Macaca fascicularis: one gene and its partners. The protein of the gene in region 1 interacts with the protein of each later gene in a biochemical or structural test. Links are inferred from orthologs where the notes say so. Each region holds a gene or a part of one and is shown in the gene's direction. Other genes may lie near its edges. The genes, in order: ATM, ABL1, RPA2, RBBP8, CHEK2 and SMC1A.

What was found.
Region 2: of the proteins of ATM (region 1) and ABL1, one has a biochemical effect on the other in vitro, tested with the Homo sapiens proteins (3 studies listed by BioGRID and IntAct, with this or other methods). The link is inferred for Macaca fascicularis from reciprocal best matches to the Homo sapiens genes ATM and ABL1.
Region 3: of the proteins of ATM (region 1) and RPA2, one has a biochemical effect on the other in vitro, tested with the Homo sapiens proteins (3 studies listed by BioGRID). The link is inferred for Macaca fascicularis from reciprocal best matches to the Homo sapiens genes ATM and RPA2.
Region 4: of the proteins of ATM (region 1) and RBBP8, one has a biochemical effect on the other in vitro, tested with the Homo sapiens proteins (4 studies listed by BioGRID, with this or other methods). The link is inferred for Macaca fascicularis from reciprocal best matches to the Homo sapiens genes ATM and RBBP8.
Region 5: of the proteins of ATM (region 1) and CHEK2, one has a biochemical effect on the other in vitro, tested with the Homo sapiens proteins (6 studies listed by BioGRID, with this or other methods). The link is inferred for Macaca fascicularis from reciprocal best matches to the Homo sapiens genes ATM and CHEK2.
Region 6: the proteins of ATM (region 1) and SMC1A form a complex in vitro, tested with the Homo sapiens proteins (2 studies listed by BioGRID and IntAct, with this or other methods). The link is inferred for Macaca fascicularis from reciprocal best matches to the Homo sapiens genes ATM and SMC1A.

Annotation. Positions count from the first base shown.
Region 1 is NC_088388.1:107,338,907-107,342,406, forward strand, and holds part of ATM (serine-protein kinase ATM), read left to right. Parts: intron 1-620; coding exon 621-828; coding exon of another isoform or gene 829-867; exon of another isoform or gene 868-1,732; intron 1,733-1,873; coding exon 1,874-1,987; intron 1,988-2,301; coding exon 2,302-2,460; intron 2,461-3,154; coding exon 3,155-3,293; intron 3,294-3,500.
Region 2 is NC_088389.1:12,985,434-12,988,814, reverse strand, and holds the end of ABL1 (tyrosine-protein kinase ABL1), read left to right. Parts: coding exon 1-872; 3' UTR 873-2,881; downstream 2,882-3,381. UniProt on the Homo sapiens protein: Non-receptor tyrosine-protein kinase that plays a role in many key processes linked to cell growth and survival such as cytoskeleton remodeling in response to extracellular stimuli, cell motility and adhesion, receptor endocytosis, autophagy, DNA damage response and apoptosis.
Region 3 is NC_088375.1:207,163,562-207,167,061, forward strand, and holds part of RPA2 (replication protein A 32 kDa subunit), read left to right. Parts: intron 1-2,220; coding exon 2,221-2,295; intron 2,296-2,802; coding exon 2,803-2,919; intron 2,920-3,500. UniProt on the Homo sapiens protein: As part of the heterotrimeric replication protein A complex (RPA/RP-A), binds and stabilizes single-stranded DNA intermediates that form during DNA replication or upon DNA stress.
Region 4 is NC_088392.1:66,856,212-66,860,482, reverse strand, and holds the start of RBBP8 (DNA endonuclease RBBP8), read left to right. Parts: upstream 1-1,471; 5' UTR 1,472-1,636; intron 1,637-2,737; exon of another isoform or gene 2,738-2,804; intron 2,805-3,744; 5' UTR 3,745-3,856; intron 3,857-4,271. UniProt on the Homo sapiens protein: Endonuclease that cooperates with the MRE11-RAD50-NBN (MRN) complex in DNA-end resection, the first step of double-strand break (DSB) repair through the homologous recombination (HR) pathway.
Region 5 is NC_088384.1:22,925,712-22,930,004, forward strand, and holds the start of CHEK2 (serine/threonine-protein kinase Chk2), read left to right. Parts: upstream 1-1,493; 5' UTR 1,494-1,544; exon of another isoform or gene 1,545-1,969; intron 1,970-4,293. Other genes in the region: iron-sulfur cluster co-chaperone protein HscB, read right to left, coding at 997-1,232. UniProt on the Homo sapiens protein: Serine/threonine-protein kinase which is required for checkpoint-mediated cell cycle arrest, activation of DNA repair and apoptosis in response to the presence of DNA double-strand breaks.
Region 6 is NC_088395.1:53,395,482-53,398,981, reverse strand, and holds part of SMC1A (structural maintenance of chromosomes protein 1A), read left to right. Parts: intron 1-117; coding exon 118-303; intron 304-401; coding exon 402-581; intron 582-682; coding exon 683-829; intron 830-924; coding exon 925-1,062; intron 1,063-2,182; coding exon 2,183-2,299; intron 2,300-2,403; coding exon 2,404-2,510; intron 2,511-3,500. UniProt on the Homo sapiens protein: Involved in chromosome cohesion during cell cycle and in DNA repair. Central component of cohesin complex. The cohesin complex is required for the cohesion of sister chromatids after DNA replication.

The DNA of each region.
Region 1 (3,500 bases):
TTGCAGAGATGGGGTTTTGCCATGTTGCCCCGGCTGGTCTCAAACTCCTGGGCTCAAACGATCTGCCCACCTTGGCCTCCCAAAGTTCTGGGATTACAGGTGTGAGGCATGGTGCCCTGTCTGCCTTGGTCCTACTGTAGTTAATCACAAATTAGTATGTAAGACATTGACATGTGTTCTTTCGTAAATAATTCATGCTCTGCTTCTAAGTTCATTGTGGAGAATATAGATATTAGCTTTCTGTTTTGCTTGTTTGGTTTGTTGGTATTGTAGTGGAAAATGAGATTGATATTGAAATTAATTACAAAAGTTACCTATTTTGATGTAATTAAATCCCTTTATTTAAGCCTGTCTTGAATCTGTATATTTTAGTGTAAGTAGATGTTTAAGTTAGCTAAATAGCTTGGGGAGAGTCCCCTTTGTCCTTCGATGCCTAGGTGTGTGAATTGCACAGTTAAGACAAAAGTAAGTTTATTACCTTTATAATTCTTAGAAGTTTGCTTTTTTCCCTGGGATAAAAACCCATTTTTTTTTCATTTATGTTGTATATCATGTGTGTGATTTTGTAGTTCTGTTAAAGTTTATGGCCTTTGTGTTTTACCTTAATTATTCTATGCAAGATACACAGTAAAGGTTCAGCGAGAGCTGGAGTTGGATGAACTTGCCCTGCATGCACTGAAAGAGGATCGTAAACGCTTCTTATGTAAAGCAGTTGAAAATTACATCAACTGCTTATTAAGTGGAGAAGAACATGATATGTGGGTATTCCGACTTTGTTCCCTCTGGCTTGAAAATTCTGGAGTTTCTGAAGTCAATGGCATGATGAAGGCAAGTGTTATTCAGCCCAATATTCTACCCTGTGCTTGAAAAACTTAGACGTTAGCCCCTTGATGTCAGGGATTTTGTATACCTCTTTGTATTCCTACCACTTGATCCAGTGCTCTTCACATGAGTAGCATTTTGTAGTTTTCTAAACTTTGATCCGTATTTAGAATTATTTACAAGTTCTAGCCTTGTTTCTGCAAAAGTTCCTTTGTATTATTATAATATTATATAAGCTTACAAGCTCTAAATGATGCAAGTTTGTGTGGAGGTGAGAGAATTTAGCTTGGTCCTATGTCTTTGCAGTTACCATAGGAGAGTGTCTAGAATGGGGCATTAGATTGGAGGATTTAGAAAGCAATTAAAGATGATGTGATCACAGGCGGGTTTTCCCCCTGCTGCAAAAATCTGGGATTTTTACAATAAATTACTTTTGTAAGTAGAGAAAATACATTTTTAAGAAAATGTCAAGACAGCAGTATTGTATAAGTTTGTCTTTGAAAACCTTAGATTATAGTGATGACACCTAATATTAAATTTATGTTGACAAGATATATATTGTTAGTCAATTTGAAGGTTAGAGATCAAATGTTTCTCCTGCAGTAAAAGAATAAGACTCATAATAGATACAATCAATCTCTGCTGTAGTATACACTAAATATTACTTTTGGCCTATGGGGAAAAGCAATTACTTCATTTTATTGTACACTGACTTGTCAGGAATCAAGATCATAGTCACACTCAGATCACATTTGTCTTCCTTAGATTTTTTGGAATATAAGCAGTACCAAGTATTCCAGTTCCGAATGCAGTTTAATTTAGGACTAAATATTTTGATTTACCAGTGCATTGTACCCATTATCTAGAGTACTCATTAGAAAGACCTTCAGATAAGATAAGAAATAAAGGAAAAAAATACAGTTAATGAAGTTTTGTTAACCACTTGCTTGTACTAATAGAGGAGCACTGTCTTAAAATAATTTATTTGCTTAGATGTGAGAATATTTGAAATACCTTGTTTATTAATTTTGTGTCTTTTTTTTAATGGTAGAGAGATGGAATGAAGATTCCATCATATAAATTTTTGCCTCTTATGTACCAACTGGCTGCTAGAATGGGGACCAAGATGATGGGAGGCCTAGGATTTCATGAAGTCCTCAATAATGTAAGTAAACCTGAAAATCAAACCACAATAATTATTTTCTATTATTAGTATATATTATATAAAGTATGTATACCATTCCCTCTAAGAAATGGAAATACAAAATGTTATATTTTGTCTCTTCTCACATCACATAAGTTACTCATTTTCTCTAATTCCTCATAGGCCTCTGCCTCTTTCTCACACATGCAGACATACATGCTCTACCCACTGCAGTATCTAGACAGTAATACACATTTTAATGTTAACCAAAATGAAAAATATGGATTATAATTTGTCTATTTGCATAAATCTAATAGTTCTTAATTTTCTTACAGCTAATCTCTAGAATTTCAATGGATCACCCCCATCATACTTTATTTATTATACTGGCCTTAGCAAATGCAAACAGAGATGAATTTCTGACTAAACCAGAGGTAGCAAGAAGAAGTAGAATAACTAAAAATGCGCCTAAACAAAGCTCTCAGCTTGATGAGGTATTTGGATTAAACATACATACCTTTTAGAAGTGTGATATTCAGTCTTTCCTAGAATATTTATTTTTAAAGTCTTGTGTTATTATGATGCCATCTAAAATTGGTTCAAGGCTGGCACGGTGGCTCACACCTGTAATCCCAGCACTTTGGGAGGCTGAGGCGGGTCGATCACTTGAGGTCAGGAGTTCGAGACCATCCTGGCTGACGGACATGGCGAAACCCTGTCTCTACTAAAAATACAAAAATTAGCTGGGCATGATGGTGGGCACCTGTAATCCCAGCTACTCGGGAGGCTGAGACAGGAGAATAGCTTGAACTCGGGAGGCAGAGGTTGCAGTGAGCCAAGATTGCGCCATTGCACTCCAGCCTGGGCAACAAGCGTGAATTAATTAAAATTGGTTCAAAATTCCTTAATGTTTGTCAAAGCATAGGAGATACCAGTAGTACTTTACTTTTTTCCTCACAGCAGCTGGCAAAGGGAAACAATAGATTTTTGAAAGGCACCTAAGTCATTGATGGGAGTATGTATTTTTGATGTATTTCATTTATGACTGTTTTGTTTGTATCTGAGGAATTATAATCATTCCATTGTCTAGATTTGTGCATAAATTCTGTTTTTGTTTTTCTAACTCTGAGAAGTTTAAATGTTGGGTAGTTCCTTATGTAATGTTTTTTGTTTGTTTTTTATTAATAGGATCGAACAGAGGCTGCAAACAGAATAATATGTACTATCAGAAGTAGGAGACCTCAGATGGTCAGAAGTGTTGAGGCACTTTGTGATGCTTATATTATATTAGCAAACTTAGATGCCACTCAGTGGAAGACTCAGAGAAGTATGTGTTTCAAAGAAGGAACATTACTTTCTTGCTATGTTACTCTCTGTAGACATATATTAATTATAGAGCCTAATAAGTAAATCTGCTTAAAATCACAAACGTAATCCAAAAGCTTAATTTATATCTGATAGCTTCAACATTCCCTGGTTGCTTTTTCACTTAATATCTCTTGGTAGAACTGATAATAGGTGACTACACTAAATT
Region 2 (3,381 bases), on another chromosome or scaffold:
CCTTAGGGACCCCTGCTGCAGCTGAGCCAGTGACCCCCACCAGCAAAGCAGGCTCAGGTGCACCAGGAGGCACCAGCAAGGGCCCCGCCGAGGAGTCCAGAATAAGGAGGCACAAGCACTCCTCTGAGTCGCCAGGAAGGGACAAGGGGAAATTGTCCAGGCTCAAACCTGCCCCGCCGCCCCCACCAGCAGCCTCTGCAGGGAAGGCTGGAGGAAAGCCCTCGCAGAGCCCGAGCCAGGAGGCGGCTGGGGAGGCAGGCCCGGGTGCAAAGACAAAAGCCACGAGCCTGGTTGATGCTGTGAACAGTGATGCTGCCAAGCCCAGCCAGCCAGGAGAGGGACTCAAAAAGCCCGTGCTCCCGGCCACTCCAAAGCCACAGTCCACCAAGCCGTCGGGGACCCCCATCAGCCCAGCCCCCATTCCCTCCACGTTGCCAACAGCATCCTCAGCCCTGGCAGGGGACCAGCCGTCTTCCACTGCCTTCATCCCTCTCATATCAACCCGAGTGTCTCTTCGGAAAACCCGCCAACCTCCAGAGCGGATCGCCAGTGGCGCCATCACCAAGGGCGTGGTCCTAGACAGCACCGAGGCGCTGTGCCTCGCCATCTCTAGGAACTCAGAGCAGATGGCCAGCCACAGTGCAGTGCTCGAGGCCGGCAAAAACCTCTACACGTTCTGCGTGAGCTACGTGGATTCCATCCAGCAAATGAGGAACAAGTTTGCCTTCCGAGAGGCCATCAACAAACTGGAGAATAATCTCCGGGAGCTTCAGATCTGCCCGGCGACAGCAGGCAGTGGTCCGGCAGCCACTCAGGACTTCAGCAAGCTCCTCAGTTCGGTGAAGGAAATCAGTGACATAGTGCAGAGGTAGCAGCAGTCAGGGGTCAGGTGTCAGGCCCGCCGGAGCTGCCTGCAGCACATGCGGGCTCTCCCATACCCGTGACAGTGGCTGACAAGGGACCAGTGAGTCAGCACCTTGGCCCAGGAGCTCTGCACCAGGCAGAGCTGAGGGCCCTGTGGAGTCCAGCTCTACTACCTACGTTTGCACCGCCTACCCTCCCGCACCTTCCTCTTCCCCACCCGGGCTCCCTGCTCCATCTCTGTCCTCGAGTTTTATCTGTGGAGTTCCTGCTCCGTGGACTGCAGTCAGCATGCCAGGACCCGCCAGCCCCGCTCCCACCTAGTGCTCCAGACTGAGCTCTCCAGGCCAGGTGGGAACAGCTGATGTGGAGTGTCCTTTTCATTTTTTCTCTCTGGAGCCCCTCCTCCCCTGGCTGGGCTTCTCCTTCCACTTCTCCAAGAATGGAAGCCTGAACCGAGGCCTTGTGCATCAGGCCCTCTGCCTGCACTCCCTGGCCTTGCCTGTCCTGTGCTGAAGACATGTTTCAAGAACCACATTTCGGGAAGGGCACACACGGGCATGCATCACGGCTGGTCACTCTGCCCTCCGCTGCTGCCCGGGGTGGGGTGCACTCGCCATTTCCTCATGTGCAGGACAGCTCTTGATTTGGGTGGAAAACAGGGTGCTAAAGCCAACCAGCCTTTGAGTCCTGGGCAGGTGGGAGCTGAAAAGGATCGAGGCACGGGGCATGTGCTTTCCATCTGTCCTCTCCACATCCCCAGAGCGCAGCTCTTGCTCTCTTGTGACGTGCACTGTGAATCCTGGCAAGAAAGCTTGAGTCTCAAGGGTGGCAGGTCACTGTCACTGCCAACATCCCTCCCCCGACAGAATGGAGGCAGGGGACAAGGGAGGCAGTGGCTAGTTGGGTGAACAGCTGGTGCCAAATATCCCCAGACTGGGCCCAGGCAGGTCTGCAAGGGCCCAGAGTGAACTTTCCTTTCACACATCTGGGTGCCCTGAAAGGGCCCTTCCCCTCCCCCACTCCTCTAAGACAAAGTAGATTCTTCCAAGGCCCTTTCCTTTGGAACAAGACAGTCTTTGCTTTTCTTGAAGCATTTCAAAGCCCTGCCTCTCTGTAGCCACCCTGAGAGAGAACGGAGCTGCCACCGGGCACCTGCGCACAGGCGGGAGGAAAGGGCCTGGGCAGTCCTGGTCCTGGCTGCACTCTAACTGGGCGAATGTCTTATTTAATTACCGTGAGTGACATAGCCTCATGTTCTGTGGGGGGTCATCAGGGAGTGTTAGGAAAACCACAAATGGAGCCCCTGACTGAAAGCCTCGAGTGTTTCACAGAGCACGCCTGCCGTCTTCTCCCCGAGGCTGCCCCAGGCTGGAGCCCAGGTACAGGGGCTGTGACTCTGGGCAGGGACCCGGGGTCTCCTGGACCTTGACAGAACAGCTAACTCCAAGAGCAGTGGGCAGGTGGCCGCCCCCGAGGCTTTACGCTGGGAGAGCCAGGAGGAGCCACCTTCCCGCCTCCCACGCTGCCTCGTGCCAGCAGCCTCGCACAGGCCCTAGCTTTGTACTCATCACCTAAACTTGTACTTTATTTTTCTGGTAGAAATGGTTTCCTCTGGATCGTTTTATGCGGTTCTTACAGCACATCACCTCTTTGCCCCCGACGGGTGTGACACAGCCTGAGGGAGGCACTAGTCACCGACAGCGGCCTTGAAGACAAAGCAGAGCGCCCACCCAGGTCCCCCGACTGCCCGTTTCCATGAGGTACTGGTCCCTTCTTTCTGTTAACGTGACGTGCCACTCTATTTTACACGCATCTGTTGGTATGCATCTTTTATAGACGCTCTTTTATAAGTGGCGTGTGCACAGCGCCCTGCCCTGCTCCCTCGGATGCCTGTGGTGGCTCCTCTGCTTCTCTGGGTCCAGTGCATTTTGTTTCTGTATATGATTCTCTGTGTTTTTTTTGAATCCAAATCTGTCCTCTGTAGTATTTTTTAAATAAATCAGTGTTTACATTAGAATCCTTGGCAGATTGCTTCGGCCTGTGATCCTGCCCTGTTGTTCTGAGCCTGTGATGGGGGGGCGGCCGGGATATAGTGGGTTCCGGTTTTCCCAACAGGGCTGGGGTCCAGCATCAGGTCTTAAGAGCAGAATAGTGGCAGGTTGCCCCCAGCTACCCAGAGCCTCTGCGGCCTGGGTGCCCACAGCCATCTTTCAGGCACTTGCCCTGCTATGCTTTGACCCTTCCTGTACCCTTGGCACTTACCTGCCGGCAGCTTGGCCCCACCAGCATCACTGGGAGTGGGCTGTGCCACTGTACAAGCCACGTCTGACTGGCGGTGTCAGGCTGTCGCAGCGACATGGAAGTGGGGTGACGAGGTCAGGTCCTGTGCTCCTTGCTGACTGAGGGCAAATCCCTCCCCACCTGCACCTGTTCTCTCTCCACCTTTCCGCCCTAAGCCCCCAGGCGTCCTCACTTATGTTCCTTGAGCCAGGTGTTTTAGATCTTTGTGTAGATGAG
Region 3 (3,500 bases), on another chromosome or scaffold:
AATCGCTTGAACCCGGGAGGCAGAGATTGCAGTGAGCCAAGATTGTGCCATTGCATTCAGCCTGGGCAAAAAGAGCAAAATTCCATCTCAAAAAAATAAAATAATGATATATTCCTAAAAGTAGGTTTTCTGGGGGGAAATACACACTTCACTTTTTTTTTAACATCTTAATTTTTGCATTTTTGTACTGTCTTCTATAAAGGTACCAGTTTACACTTCAATCATGCATGAGAGTGCCCAGTTAGTTTCCATACCCTTAACTTTTTTTTTTTTTTTTTTTTTTTTTAAGAAATAGGATCTCACCGTGTTGCCCAGGTTGGTCTCAAACTCCTGGGTTCAAGCAATCCTCCCACCTCAGCCTCCCAACATGCTGGGATTACAGGTGTGAGCCACTGTGCCCATCCTCCATACCCTTTCTAACAATGGGTTTTTTTGTTTGTTGTTGTTTTGTTTTGAGACGGAGTTTCGCTCTTGTTGCCTAGGCTAGAGTGCAATGGCGCAATCTCGGCTCACTGCAACCTCCACCTCCCAGGTTCAAGCAATTCTCCTGCATCAGCCTCCCGAGTAGCTGGGATTACAGGCGTGTACCACCATGCCCAGCTAATTTTGTAATTTTAGTAGAGATGGGGTTTCTCCATGTTGAGGCTGGTCTCTAACTCCTGACCTCAGGTGATCCTCCTGCCTTGGCCTCCCAAAGTTCTGGGATTACAGGCGTGAGCCACCACATCCGGCCTAACAATGGGTTTTTGTCTTAAATTTTTGCCAGTATGATAGTTGTTTTAAAAAAATAGTCTTTTTGACCAGGTGCGGTGGCTCATGCCTGTAATCCCGGGACTTTGGGGAGGCCAAGACGAGTGGATCACCTGAGGTCAGGAGTTTGAGACCAGCCTGGCCAACATGGTGAAACCCCATCTCTACTAAAAATACAAAAATTAGCCTGGCATGGTGTTGCGTGCCTGTAGCCCCAGCTACTCGGGAGGCTGAGGCGGGAGAATTGCTTGAACCCGTGAGGCAGAGGTTGCAATGAGCTGAAATCGTGCCACTGCACTCCAGGCTGGATGACAGAGCAAGACACTTCATCTCAAAAAAAAAAAATCAGCTAATGTATTTTTTTTTTTTTTTTTTTTTTTTGAGTCGGAGTCTCGCTGTGTCGCCCAGGCTGGAGTGCAGTGGCCGGATCTCAGCTCACTGCAAGCTCTGCCTCCCGGGTTTTTACGCCATTCTCCTGCCTCAGCCTCCCGAGTAGCCGGGACTACAGGCGCCCGCCACCTCGCCCGGCTAGTTTTTTGTATTTTTTAGTAGAGACGGGGTTTCACCGTGTTAGCCAGGATGGTCTCGAACTCCTGACCTCGTGATCCGCCCGTCTCGGCCTCCCAAAGTGAACTAATGTATTTTTCTTATAAATAATGTGTCCATAGTCTAGGAAACTGATAAATATTAAAATAGTTTGTAATTATCCTAGTCAACCATTAAACAGTTTAGTGTATATTGTCCCAAATGGGAAATCAGCTTTTTTCCATGTGTCATGACTTGTTTTTCCAGACAGTAAATAGAATTCTGTGTTATCATTTGCAACAGTGTGGAGTATCCTATCATATAGAAATGTGTACTTTATGTTGCATATTTAGGTTGTTTTACAATTTTTAATATTCTGTACTATGATAAATCTAAATCTTAATGCATGTTCTTAATTACTTCCTTAAATTCCCAAAAGTAGAATTGCTTTGCCAGTAAGTATATCCACCATAAAATTGTGTGCCTGCGGGGCATGGTGGCGGGCGCCTATAATCCCAGCTATGGGGGAAGCTGAGGCAGGAGAATCACTCAAACCCTCCCTTGGGAGGGGGAGGTTGCAGTGAGCCAAGATCATGCCACTGCACTCCAGTCTGGGCGACAGAGCGAGACTCCCTCACAAAAAAAAAAAAAAAAAGAAAATTGTGTGCCTAAGAGCTTGAATGAGAGTGTCATAATTGTTTACTTTTTTATGATGTGCTACAGAACTTTGGAACTGAGAATTACCTTTAGAGATATTTTTATTCTAATTCCTGGTTTTACAAAAAAGTAAGTTGTAAAAGGCAGGGCAAACTCCTTAATGCCATTTTAGGATCCTTTAACTCTTCTACTTTGTAACTTTCTCTTTCTCTACATAATATAGAAATGTTAAAGAGGCTTTCACCAGCATCACTAAAACCTTAATGACATGTTTGTATTTTATGTTAGGATGCCAGCAGTGAAAACACTGTGGTTCCTCCAGAAACATATGTGAAAGTGGCAGGCCACCTGAGATCTTTTCAGGTAAAGTCAGAATAAAATAGCAGTTAAAGTGTTTTTGCATGAAGCAGTTTCTAGATTCATGTCATGGCTTTTGGATAGTTAAAATACTTAAGTCCCCCTGTTTAATGGGAAGTTATTTCTTACTCTCTTCTTCAAAAGGAAATAACTCTTCTTTCTTTTTTTTTTTTACCTTAACATGAAATTGACAGAATAGTAAAGAAAGAACAGAATCTCCTACAATTGCCATCTGTGGCGTTCATTAGTTGGAGAAAGGAGAACACTAGATTCGGAGTCAGGAGTCTAGATTTTGCTCCGTTATGCAACCTTGGGAAAATTATTAATGTCCCTTAGCTATTAATTTTAGTGTTTTTCTCATGTTTGACCATGTTTGGATTACTGCTGAGAGTATATAACATTTCTCTCATATTGGCAAAATATTAATATTATAACCAAGAAAAGAGCCACATTGTTGACCTGAAATTAATGTATGTTCATATTTTATTCACATTTTTTTCTTCATTTTGATAGAACAAAAAGAGCCTGGTAGCCTTTAAAATCATGCCTCTGGAGGATATGAATGAGTTCACCACACATATTCTGGAAGTGATCAATGCACACATGGTACTGAGCAAAGCCAACAGCCAGGTGAGTAGCCTCACTTGCCTAGCTTTTTCTCTTCCCTGGAAGAACACAGGTTACTTTTGTGTTCCAGCTTTGATTTCCTTGACATTTTGAAGGCCGAGCCAGAGAAAGACATCACTAAGTCCTCCGAACACTTTCTCCATTAGCTTTGTCACCGTATTTTATTTCAGATGAAACACTGATGTTTCTCTCAGAATTAAGAGTTCCTCTGACACTGGCCTGGACAGCTGGGGCCTGTGACAACCCTTAGGTGTAGACATGTAATTATAGGCTGAGCTCTTAGCTCCAAGGATTGTCAGTGCATATTCAGAGAGTAGCCCCCTTCAGGACAGCATTTTGCTGTCTTCCTTCCAACTTACTGGCTAAGTAGGAAAAATTATGTACTATTATATTTTTTCCCTGAAATTATATTTATTGATTCGTATTGAAATTTCTCCATAGTATTTTCCATTGTGTGAATTGACTTTGGCAAGTCCATCTAGGACCACACAAAAGGTTTGTTGACTCTAGTATTAGAAAGCCCTCAGGGCCAGGTGTGGTGGTTCATGGCCTGAAATCCTAGCACTTTGGGAGGATGGTATGGG
Region 4 (4,271 bases), on another chromosome or scaffold:
ACATACTTATAGTCATACTCACTCCCATTTCTGAGCTCCCATCTCAATTATTATAATTATAGTATTTAATGGAGTTTGATTCGTATAGTCATTACTAGTTGTGATTCCTCTGAGATCTAGCAAGTGCTTGACTCTGATAAGCATTTATTAAGTACCTTCTAAGTGTCCGTCAGTGTTCTAGACACTAGAAATACAAAAATAAAAATGGCAACTTTTGGTTCATATGTATTCTTTTTAATTAAGAGGTATAAAAATAGAAAAGAAACTGAGCATGGAATATGTGCTATGGTCCCTGCAACAGTTGCATCAGAATCACTAGAAGTGCTTGGGCAACATTCCTATTGAATGCTGAAGCAGAATCTGTGGCGGTTAGACCCAGGAATCTGTGCTCTTAATCAACACTTCAGATGACTCTTAAGCACAAAAGTTTCAGAAACACTATGGCAGTAGACAGGAAACGATGCTTCTAAATGTGCAAGTATTATGAGAGAGTAAGCACAAATCTCACATGATCTCTCTTAATACAAACTAATTTCTGTCAAAATGTAATGTTTTGCTGCTCATTTCTTCTTTCCAAAAGTTTACTCGACATGCTTAATCGGGAACTTTGAAGTTGCTCTCATCTTTACTAATTTTACTCACACTGTGAACCCTGTACCTAGCACAGTTCTTAAAACATAGTTGATATAAATACTCTGTGTTGAACCGTTGAATATTCAGAGCAAAACCTCTCTAAGTTGTCCCTAGTATGTAGAATTAGGAGTTTTTCCAATTTTAGACTGGAATGGTATGAGAATCATTTGAGAACAAGGAAGATAACACACCCAGGCAAATGTTTGGTCAACCTACACCTTGTTTCTCTCCTTCTAGAAATACTTCCTTCTAGCTCTCAAGCCCACTACCCTGTGAGGAATATCAATCTCTCTCCTCAAGGTTAAGCTGGATTAAGCAAAGCCAAGCAGACTAGTGGAAAAGGTCAGGCATTATAGGATTCATCTTCATCATAGGTAATCTATTTCTAGAGGCTGTAGTCAGCAGAATGCCCCAGAATACATGTTTAAAAGGATTACCTACCTCTGAAGATAACAGACCACTTGCTTATATATGTCTACCATGAGAGTCTTATAACAATGCACCCTTGCTATACCTGACACAGATCTACCCCTCCCACTAGAACTCTGAATTATTTTGCTGGAGGCTACAACATTCTGAGTAGTTTGTTGGGAGTTCACGGGAGGTGGGGATAACTCACCCAGTACAAGCTTAGCAGAGCTGAGCCGCTGCAGCATGTTGGGCTAGCCTTTGATACAGACTGGTTGGACAGGTTCTGGATCTACGGAAGAACCGGTTTTACTGGCCTGTTGTGCCAACATATTCTGGTTTGATTCCATGTTCCACAGACGGTAGAAACCTGCCCAGCCAGTTAAATGAAAGGCATATTAGGTTATCCATTGCACACAGTATATAGCTTAGATGCAGCAGAACTCTTCCACATAGCAGTAGTGTCTAGCAAACTAGTGTGGTCCAGAGGTGGTGTTCACTGATTTAATGTTTAAGTTCATAGCTTCAGGGAAAGTGAGCAGTGAAACAATTTCTGCTTTTCACCAAGAGCAGAGGTTTCTAAATAAATTGAAGGGTAAGTATATTTTTTAAATTTCTCAGTTTTCTATGCATTTTGGAAAGTTAAGAAATGATGTTTAAAAAGATAATCGATTTTTAACATAGTAATAGCTGCATTATACCTTTTCTGTAAAGCTAGATATTGCTTTATAACACTTGCATTATGTTCATTGATTTGTTTGCATAAAGTTTATTTGGTATATAATATTCTCTTACTATGCTTTTTTGTAAGTTGTGCATGGCTATAGTAATTTTAAAAGCTAGACTGAATAATTTTGCCAAATAAATTTCAAATATTAATGATTTATATTAAGCCATCTACTTCTTTCATAATGTAACTATTATGTTTTATAGGCTGTTGCTATATGGTAACAATTTTATATGGTAAATCTAATTGTGGATAAATAATAATTGCCTTTTTAAGGCCAAAAAAAGTATTGGCCTGCTGGTGATCCTAAGTACATGCATTAGAACAATTCACAGCAAAAATTGAGGAGTGTGAAAAACAAAGATTGTGGAATCTGGTAACTGATTAACTATTGGAGCTCAAAAGCACTTGCTGAGCTGAATAGAAAGGAATGAAGACAGGTTTTGTCATGCCTATTAGGTCTGAAAAAATTTTTAGGTTAAAGAATACTTGGATCTTCCTTCCATTTATATTAAAAATCTTCCTTTTATCTCTCTCTTTACTTAATCCAATTACTTTATTTTAGTAGTTTGTATCATGTAAAATGAAAGTTACCAATCCCTTTAGATTTATGTTGGCATACCATCCTACCCCTCTATTTACTGATATTAGATTGAATCGAAGCACATGTCTTCTGGGGCATTTAATTTAACATAACAGCTGACATACGATTTTATCTGGGAATTTAAAAAAAATTTTTAACGTATTTATACTGAATGCTTTCCTGTCATCTTAATAGGACTTTGCTTTGAACTGAGCAAGGCTGATGCATCCTTTTCATTGTCCCTAGGGTTCCCACTTTGTCATTATGTTCAAACTCAAAGGCTATAATATTATTTTCTAACTCAAAGGCTGTAACATTAGTTTCCTTAGAATGTTGACAGAATAAAAGTGTAAATAAACGTTCAGATGAGATTTCATTTTTTGCAGGGAAAACCCTTGGATGCTTCATAGTCCTACTTCTAGGCAGTTCTGCATAGAATTTCTGGTAATCCAGGTAAACTGCTGAAAAGCTATGTAATGTTGTATCTGCAAAAGCAATGTGCTGATTCAGCAAACCAATATTAATTTTATTCAGCACAAATTGTATTTTGACAAGTTTTTGGTAATATGGATCAAAACTTTCAATTGGCTGAATTTTTCTGAATTTACTACATGAAACCTAGTTTTCAGGTAATATATATACCAATAGAGCACATTGTTAGTATTTCTGGTGAATATATTGTATGTGGTAATTTAAAAAATTTAAACCACACTGTGTTTAAAACATAGGGCTTACTGTTTAAAGATAAATTTAATTTGGGATTCTAATTTATTTATTGAGCATCATTTATGTTTATAGTTTTGAAGAAAGCTATTTAGGAACTAGATATACATTTTACATAAAATCCATGGGTAAAATTTCAAGCTTAACTCTGTATTTTGGAAGAGGATTGCACAGTTTTCATTTAATGGAATTTTCATTTTCAAATGTAGGTAAGTCCTATTAAATATTACTTTTATATATTTTCCATAAATTGAGTCATTTAAAATATTGATACATTGTGATATTTTTGCTAAAACCCAGGACATATAAATTTGTCAATCAAATTAGGAGTGTGTATTTTATACAGACCAACATATCTCAGCGCCTAGTCAAAAAGTGTTCCACTCATTTAAAATTTTTTTACTCTTTTAGTCGAGGATGCATTTCTTCTTATTCCCAGTCACACAATTTCACATAACTCTTTTTGTCAACAATGCTAGCTTTCTTAACAACTGCAACTTCTTTCCCTTCTGAATATCTTCATGTGTTTTCCACTAAAAGCACTTAGAATTATGACATTTTTTACCTAAGAGGGACATTTAAAGAATAACCAATGAATCTGACACCTCATTTTTGAGTTAAGAAATGAAAAGCCCCAAAATATAGCTAAATCACTATTATATAATCTAAGGGTCGATTCGGAGCCAGAACATCCAGGTTTCCTGACTACCAGCAAGACCAGTAATTTTTTCACTACCCTACATTGACTCTTCTGAATACTACATGAAATCTAATCTAAAAAGGTAAAATTATGTTGTATAGTGTGTTAATGAATCTTTGGTGAACTAAGAAATCATTGGTTTTTGTATTTTAATCTGTATCATTATTGCCCCAAGCATTTTTAGGACAATGGCTAAATATATATGGGATTACCATTGATAATGAACGTGACTACCACTTCAAACCCTAATCTCTTTTTTTTTTTTTTTTTTTTTTTTTGAGACGGAGTCTTGCTCTGTGCCCCAGGCTGGAGTGCAGTGGCGCGATCTCGGCTCACTGCAAGCTCCGCCTCCCGGGTTCACGCCATTCTCCTGCCTCAGCCTCCCGAGTAGCTGGGACTACAGGCGCCCGCCACCTCGCCCGGCTAATTTTCTTGTATTTTTAGTAGAGACGGGGTTTCACCGTGTTAGCCAGGATGGTCTCGATCTCCTGACCTCG
Region 5 (4,293 bases), on another chromosome or scaffold:
CCAGGCTGGAGTGCAGTGGCGCGATCTCGGCTCACTGCAAGCTCCGCCTCCTGGGTTCACGCCATTCTCCTGCCTCAGCCTCCGGAGTAGCTGGGACTACAGGCGCCCGCCACCGCGGCCGGCTAATTTTTTGTATTTTTAGTAGAGACAGGGTTTCACCGTGGTCTCGATCTTCTGACCTTGTGATCCGCCCGCCTCGGCCTCCCAAAGTGCTGGGAATTACAGGCGTGAGCCACCGCGCCCGGCCAAGATGATCTTGAATAAAGTCTTTCTGGTGTTTGAACAAGTGTGACTGAATAACGTTTTCTTTAATACCACCCTATCTTTTCCACAGCCCAGGTCCCTTCATCCCTGTCTCCCGGTTTATTTTAATTCAACCCCGTTCACACTCTACTCCCAGAGTCTGTCCTATTTCCTTATCAGTTCAGCTCTATCCACACTGCCCCATCTCTCCAAGATCGTCAGCCTCAGGGGAAAAAACTATTTATTGGACCCTTTCCCTCGAATTCTCACTTTTCCCTCAGGTCTTGCCTACAATATTAAGATTTTCATGCTTTACTCCCCAATTTCGGACTACACTTCTGCAGTCCTTTCATAAATACATCAAACCAACTCTTCCAGTCTCCCGGGCCCTGCCCCTCAAGTACCCCTTCCTCAAGCTCCGCCCCTCGACTTCTCCTTCCCTTTCCCGTAGGTACCGCCCCTCAAATCTCCCTCCCCTCTAGCCTCGGCCCCCCTATTTCCTCTAACTTCAGCGCCCGCCCCTCCAGTCCCGTTCGTCTCCCTTCTCCACACCTCAACGCTGCTTCCCTCAGTCCCCGCCTCTCAATTTCCTCCTGAGAAATCAAGACACTTCTCTCACGCCTGCTCTCTAGACCTCCGCCCCCCTATCGGTCCCGCCTTCTCTTCCGCAAGCCAGATCCGTCCTCCCCTCTCGCAGGCCAGACCCCGACGTCTCTCTCGCCCGGGCCCGTTTCCCGAAACAGTCGCTCGTACCAGTCCATAAGGCTGAAGTAGTCTCGAGTGGGGTCAGGTGCCTGCAGCGCTCTGCACTGTGGGCAGAAGAACCTGTCCTCCCGCCCGGGGCCCCATGGGCCGCCGCAGTTCCAACAGTGGGGAGAATTGCTTTCCGCCTGCGACGCAGCATCGCAGCTTAGCAGTCTCCTTCTGGGAACCCCTGTTGGCCAAAACCCCCACACCCGGAGCAAAGCCCCGACTCTCCCCCGCCACATCTCGCCGGCGGCCTAGCTAGCCGTGGTCACCCGTGGGGAAAAGCAAAGAGAGCGTCCAACCAGACTAATGCTGCTGATTGGCTGGGGAGTCGAGGGGGCGGGATCACCCGAGGGGAACCCGAGTTCTAAGTTCCGCTCTGCCTTCTAAACTACAACTCCCAGGAAGCATTGAGGCGATGCCTGACGGCCACATCTGCTGCTCCTCATTGGTCCGGCGGCAGGGGAGAGGGTTTTGATTGGCTGAGGGTGGAGTTTGTATCTGCAGGTTTAGCGCCACTGCAGGCTGAGGCTGTGGAGAGTGTGCGGCTCCAGGTGGGCTCACGCGGTGAGTCATATTGGGAACTTCTGTTGGGTGTTTGGTGGTTCGAATCCCATCTTCAGCGTTTCGTGCGAGCGGAGTCTCCTGAGCTTCGCTTTGTCTGTATTTTTGTACTGAAGGGGGAGTGTGTGGGCGACTCTCTTCCTTTTTAGTAGATCATCCTCGAGGTGAAGTTCACTTCCCGTATTACTTACAAGCTGAAACAGGCCTGAACGGACAGGATAAGAAGGAACAGAGTTGTGTTCTTCAATATCAGAGCGAAGTTACTTTGTAAAAAGTTCTATAGATGTTAGTAGTCATTGCCATTCTTTAGATTCAATCTCTAAAATACTTATAGAGAGGCCAGTCTTAGCTACTGGGCGCTGCAGGAACTGGAAACGCACTGAGCTGTGTAGGAGGATGTTCTGCGGGTCCCTAAGTAAGTCCCTAAGTAAGTGTATGGGATAGGGTGGCCAGGAGTGGGTAGGAGGGAATCAGTCCTCCTTCGGACTTAGGTTTTCTACTTGAAAAAAAAGATTGTGTTTCACTTGAAAGCCTTCTGGACTTTTTAAAAAAAATTATTTATTTTTGATATAAAGTATACATGTATGAGTACCACATATGTACCTTTTTTTTTTTTTTTTGAGACGGAGTCTCTCTCTGTTGCCAGGCTGGAGTGCAGTGGCGCGATCTGGGCTCACTGCAACTTCTGCCTCCTGGGTTCAAGCGGTTCTCCTGCCTCAGCCTCCTAAGTATCTAGGATTATAGGTGCCGGCCACCATGCCCGGCTAGTATTTTTAGTAGAGATGGGGTTTTACCATGTTGGCCAGGCTGGTCTTGAACTCCTGACCTCAGGTGATCCACCCGCCTTGGCCTCCCAAAGTGCTGGGATTACAGGTGTGAGCCACTGCACCCAGCCTAATTTCAGTTTTTTGAGGAATCACAATACTTTTGTGATTAGTGGCTATACTAATTTGCATTCCCACCAATGGTGTATGTGAACAGGGCAAGGTCAGACATAACTAGGTCCGTGAACATTTGTGTTTTTCCACAAGATCAGACTTATTGATGTTTTATTTTAATTGTAAAAGCCACGAGCTACATGGAGTTCCCAAGGAAGCAATTTTCTGTAGTACTACCTGTTTACTTGGTAGTCAGAACCGTGGGCACACAGGCTGAAGCCATTCCACAAGTCAGTCAGCATTGTAAATTATACACAATAGTATATTTATTTAATATATAAATGTTATAGGTTAAAAATCTTACATTAAAGTAACATTTAACATTCAGAGAAAAGGGGATAGGGAAAGCGGTTATCAAACCAGTCCAAGGAGAGCAATGTGGACAAAGAGAGTGTTTTGGCTTGATCTGGGGTGTCAGTGTCTTGTAAGGAAGAGTTTTTTGATGTGGATGAGCCTTTGGTGGCAGATGCTGGGTGTTAATCGTGAGTGACAGCAAGATGGTGTCTGTTAGGACAGCCATTCTGACCTAATAAAGTCCTGGTCTTATGACCACAAAATTTTCTGGTAAGGACTAATAACAAAAGCGTGTACATGTTTATGTCCTTATCTGGTTTAGTACCGTCTTTTTTTGTTTTTTTTTTTGAGACAGAGTCTCGCTTTGTCTCTCGCAGGCTAGAGTGCAGTGGCGTGATCTCGGATCACTGCAACTTCCGACTCCCTGGTTCAAGCGATTCTCCTGCCTCAGCCTCCCAAGTAGCTGGGATTACAGGCACGTGACACCACGCCCAGCTAAGTTTTGTATTTTTAGTAGAGTCGGGGTTTCACCATGATGGCCAGGATGGTCTTGATCTCCTGACTTTGTGATCCGTCTGCCTTGGCCTCCCAAAGTGCTGGGATTACAGGCGTGAACCACTGTGCCTGGCCAGTACAGTCTTTATTAATTAGACAAACATCTGGTCCCTATTGGCATAATGCCTTTTAAAATACAAGAGCCTTTTTCTAAGATAAAATTACTTATGTCAAGAGCACTCTGTACAGTTCCCCTTTCTCCACATTCTTCCCAGCATCTGTTATTGCCTGTCTTTTATTCAAACCATTTTAACTGGGGTGAGATGGTATCTCATTGTAGGTTTGTTTGTTTGTTTGTTTGTTTGTTTGAGACAGAGTCTTACTCTGTAGCCTAGGCTGGAATGCAGTGGTGCGATTTTGACTCACTGCATTCTCTGCCTCCCAGGTTCAAGCGATTCTCCTGCCTCAGCCTCCCAAGTAGCTGGGATTATAGACACCTGCCACCATGCCCAGCTAATTTTCATATTTTTAGTGGAGACAGGGTTTCACCATGTTGGCCAGGCTGGTCTCAAACTCCTGACCTCAAGTGATCTGCCCGCCTCCGCCTCCCAAAGTTCTGGGATTACAGGCATGAGATACTGTGCCCAGGCCTCACTGTAGTTTTGATTTGTTATTTCTCCAATGATCAGTGATGTTGAGCATTTTTTTATATACCCGTTGGCCATTTGTATGTCTTCTTTTGAGAAATGTCTGTTCGGATCTTTTGCCCATTTCTTTTTTTTGAGACAGAGTCTCACTCTGTCACCTAGCCTGGAGTGCAGTGGCGCGATCTCGGCTCACTGCAATCTCCGTCTCCGTTTCCTGGATTCAAGTGATTCTCATGTCTCAGCCTCCAAAGTAGCTGGGACTACAGGCACGAGCCACCACGCCCAGCTAATTTTTTGTATTTTTAGTAGAGATGTGGTTTCGCCATGTTGGCCAGGCTGGTCTTGAAGTCCTGACCTCAGATGAT
Region 6 (3,500 bases), on another chromosome or scaffold:
TGCGTTCACTTCCTGATATAGATTCTAGTCTGTCCCCCTTTCCACACTGGGAATTAGGATTCCTGAGCCAGCTCCCAAAAGCTTCATACTTCAGTTTTCCCTTCCTACTTTACTCAGTATGGCCGCCTCATTGACCTGTGCCAGCCCACACAAAAGAAGTATCAGATTGCTGTAACCAAGGTTTTGGGCAAGAACATGGATGCCATTATTGTGGACTCGGAGAAGACAGGCCGGGACTGTATTCAGTATATCAAGGAACAGCGTGGGGAGCCTGAGACCTTCTTGCCTCTTGACTACCTGGAGGTGAGGCTTCTTGGGGATTGGGTCAGGCCAGTGTTCAAGGGCCCCTCTTCTAGTACTCCCTGTTTGTGTTCTGCCACTGACTGAGCTTCTCCCCACAGGTGAAGCCTACAGATGAAAAACTCCGGGAGCTGAAGGGGGCCAAGCTAGTGATTGATGTGATTCGCTATGAGCCACCTCACATCAAAAAGGCCCTGCAGTATGCTTGTGGCAATGCCCTTGTCTGTGACAACGTGGAGGATGCCCGCCGCATTGCCTTTGGAGGCCACCAGCGCCACAAGGTGTGGATTCTCTTGCCCAGGTTGAAGCTGGACAGGCTCAGTACTGGAGATTCATTTGTTCAGCTTCTCCCCCTCTTCTCTTTTCCCCCTGCTGTGTGTAGACAGTGGCACTGGATGGAACCCTATTCCAGAAGTCAGGAGTGATCTCTGGTGGGGCCAGTGACCTGAAGGCCAAGGCGCGGCGCTGGGATGAGAAAGCAGTAGACAAGTTGAAAGAGAAGAAGGAGCGCTTGACAGAGGAGCTGAAAGTAAGCCACAGGCAGTGCTGTTTTTAGCAGTGGGAGTCCTAAGCCTAGGTCAACCACCACCTTACCACCTAGCCCTTCTTTCTTGTTCCCTTCAGGAGCAGATGAAGGCAAAACGGAAAGAGGCAGAGCTGCGTCAGGTGCAGTCTCAGGCCCATGGACTGCAGATGCGGCTCAAGTACTCCCAGAGTGACCTAGAACAGACCAAGACACGACATCTAGCCCTGAATCTGCAGGTGGGGCCTGGCCTTCAGCCCTGTTCTCCAAAGGCCATCCACACATTCCTGGCCTAGGTTTCTCTGAGGGTGGGGAACTTGTTTCACTTCCCTGTCTCCTCCCAGCCTGCCGCAGGAAGCCAAGTATAGCATAGAGTCAGACAGCCAGGGATTCAGAGCTTGGCTCTGCGTTGAGTATGACATTAGGCAAGTAATTTCACCTCTCAGTGTCAACCTTCACATCTTAATCTGTGAAATGCAAGTTAAGATAATACCTACTCGGCCGGACACGGTGGATCACCTGAGATCAGGAGTTGGAGACCAGCCTGGCCAACATGATGAAACCCTGTCTCTACTACAAATATAAAAAATTAGCCGAGCATGGTGGCAGGCGCCTGTAATCCCAGCTACTTGGGATGCTGAGGGCAGGAGAATTGCTTTAACCTGGGAGGTGGAGGTTGCAGTGAGCCAAGATCGCGCCATTTTACTCCAGCCTGGGTGACAGAGACTCTGTCTCAAAATAAATAAATAAATGATACCTACTTTATAGGGTCATTATTGAATGAGTTAACATGTAAAGTGCCTAAGACTGCTATGTGTTCAGTTTATGTTAGGTGCTATTGTTAGCATAATTTGTTCATTCAGCAATTTGAATTTTTGAAAGTGAGCTGTGGGCATTTCAGTCCCTGCTTGTGGTAGTGGTGGGGTGGGGCGCAGTACTGTTCTAGGTATATTGTTTTTTTTTTTATTATTATTATCGGGTACTTCCCCAGACCACCCTGGAGGTCTTATGTGTAGTGTGTGTATTTATCTATCTTTTTCTAAACTCAAAAACCCTAAACTGAATTCTGAAACAACTCTGCCCCCAGGGGTTATAGATCAAAGATTGGGACCTATACCTAATGATGTTTACTGTGTGCCCAGCCCTGTGGATTGAAGCTGGCTGAACTGGATGCCAGGGAAGAAGCCATGTGATGGCTTCTGTGCAACATCATGGAGACTTGACTAGGGCAGTAGTGCTAAGCCAGGTTCTCTCAGATGTGGAGAGCTAGCCCTTCCTGACTGTGGGACCAATGCAGTCAAGGTAGCTTTTCCTCCAAGGACCCTGGTCTGTTTTGTCCTCTCAACCCATTGCCTGTAGGAAAAATCCAAGCTGGAGAGTGAGCTAGCCAACTTTGGGCCTCGCATTAATGATATCAAGAGGATCATTCAGAGCCGAGAGAGGGAGATGAAAGACTTGAAGGAGAAGATGAACCAGGTTGGTAGGGTGTGGGCCATGCCAGCGTGTGCGTCAGGGCAGGACTGGGACTGGAAGCAGGACAGACTAAAAGGGCCGATGCCCTCCCTGGCTTCTCTTCTCAGGTAGAGGATGAGGTGTTTGAAGAGTTTTGTCGGGAGATCGGTGTGCGCAACATCCGGGAGTTTGAGGAAGAGAAGGTGAAACGGCAGAATGAAATCGCCAAGAAGCGGTAGGTGGGAGGATTGGTAGAAGATATTGGGATGCCCTTGAGGCTCTAACCTGACATCCTTGGAAAACCAGATGCTGTCATAGGCAAGGGTCAGCTCTTAGAACTGTGTGAGTTTATGTAGGTAGGCCTTAAAGAACAGAAATCAGGAGGGCAGTATGGCATAGTTATAGTGGTTAAGAGTGCTAACTCTAAACTTGATTTCCTGGATTCCTGGATTACAGCCCCAGCTCCACAACTCGTTATCTTTGGCAGTGACTTGACTTCTGTAAGCTGCAGTATCTGCAGAATGGTATAATGATACCTATCTCATGGCATTGTTGGGAGGATCAGGTGAAATAATTTCTTTTTTTAAGATTACCTGTTTTCCTTTTTTTTTTTTTTTCGCTGAGACTGGAGTGCAGTGGCAACCTTGACCTTCCCAGGCTCAGGTGGTCCTCCCACCTCAGCCTCCTGAGTAGTTGGGACTACAGATGTTTGCCACCACACCCGGCTAATTTTTGTTTTTCTGGGTTTTTTTTGTTGTTGTTGTTGTAGAAATGGGGTTTTGCCATGTTGCCCAGACTGGTCTGGAACTCGGGCTCAAGTGATCCTCCTGCCTCAGCCTCCCAAAGTGCTTGGATTACAGGTGTGAGCCATAGTGCCAGCCTTTTTTTTTTTTCCTCAAGATGGAGTCTTGCTCTGTCGCCCAGGTTGGAGTACAGTGGCATGATCTCAGCTCACTGCAATCTCCGCCTCCCAGGTTCATGCAATTCTCCTGCCTCAGCCTCCCGAGTAGCTGGGACTACAGGTGTACTCCACCATGCCCGGCTAATTTTTTGTATTTTTAGTAGAGATGGGGTTTCACCATGCTGGCCAGACTGGTCTCGAACTCCTGACGTTGTGATCCGCCCACCTTGGCTTCCCAAAGTGCTGGGATTACAGGCATGAGCCACCACACCTGGCCCCAACCCCCGCCTGGCCTTTTTTTTTTTTTTTTTTTTAACCTTTTTA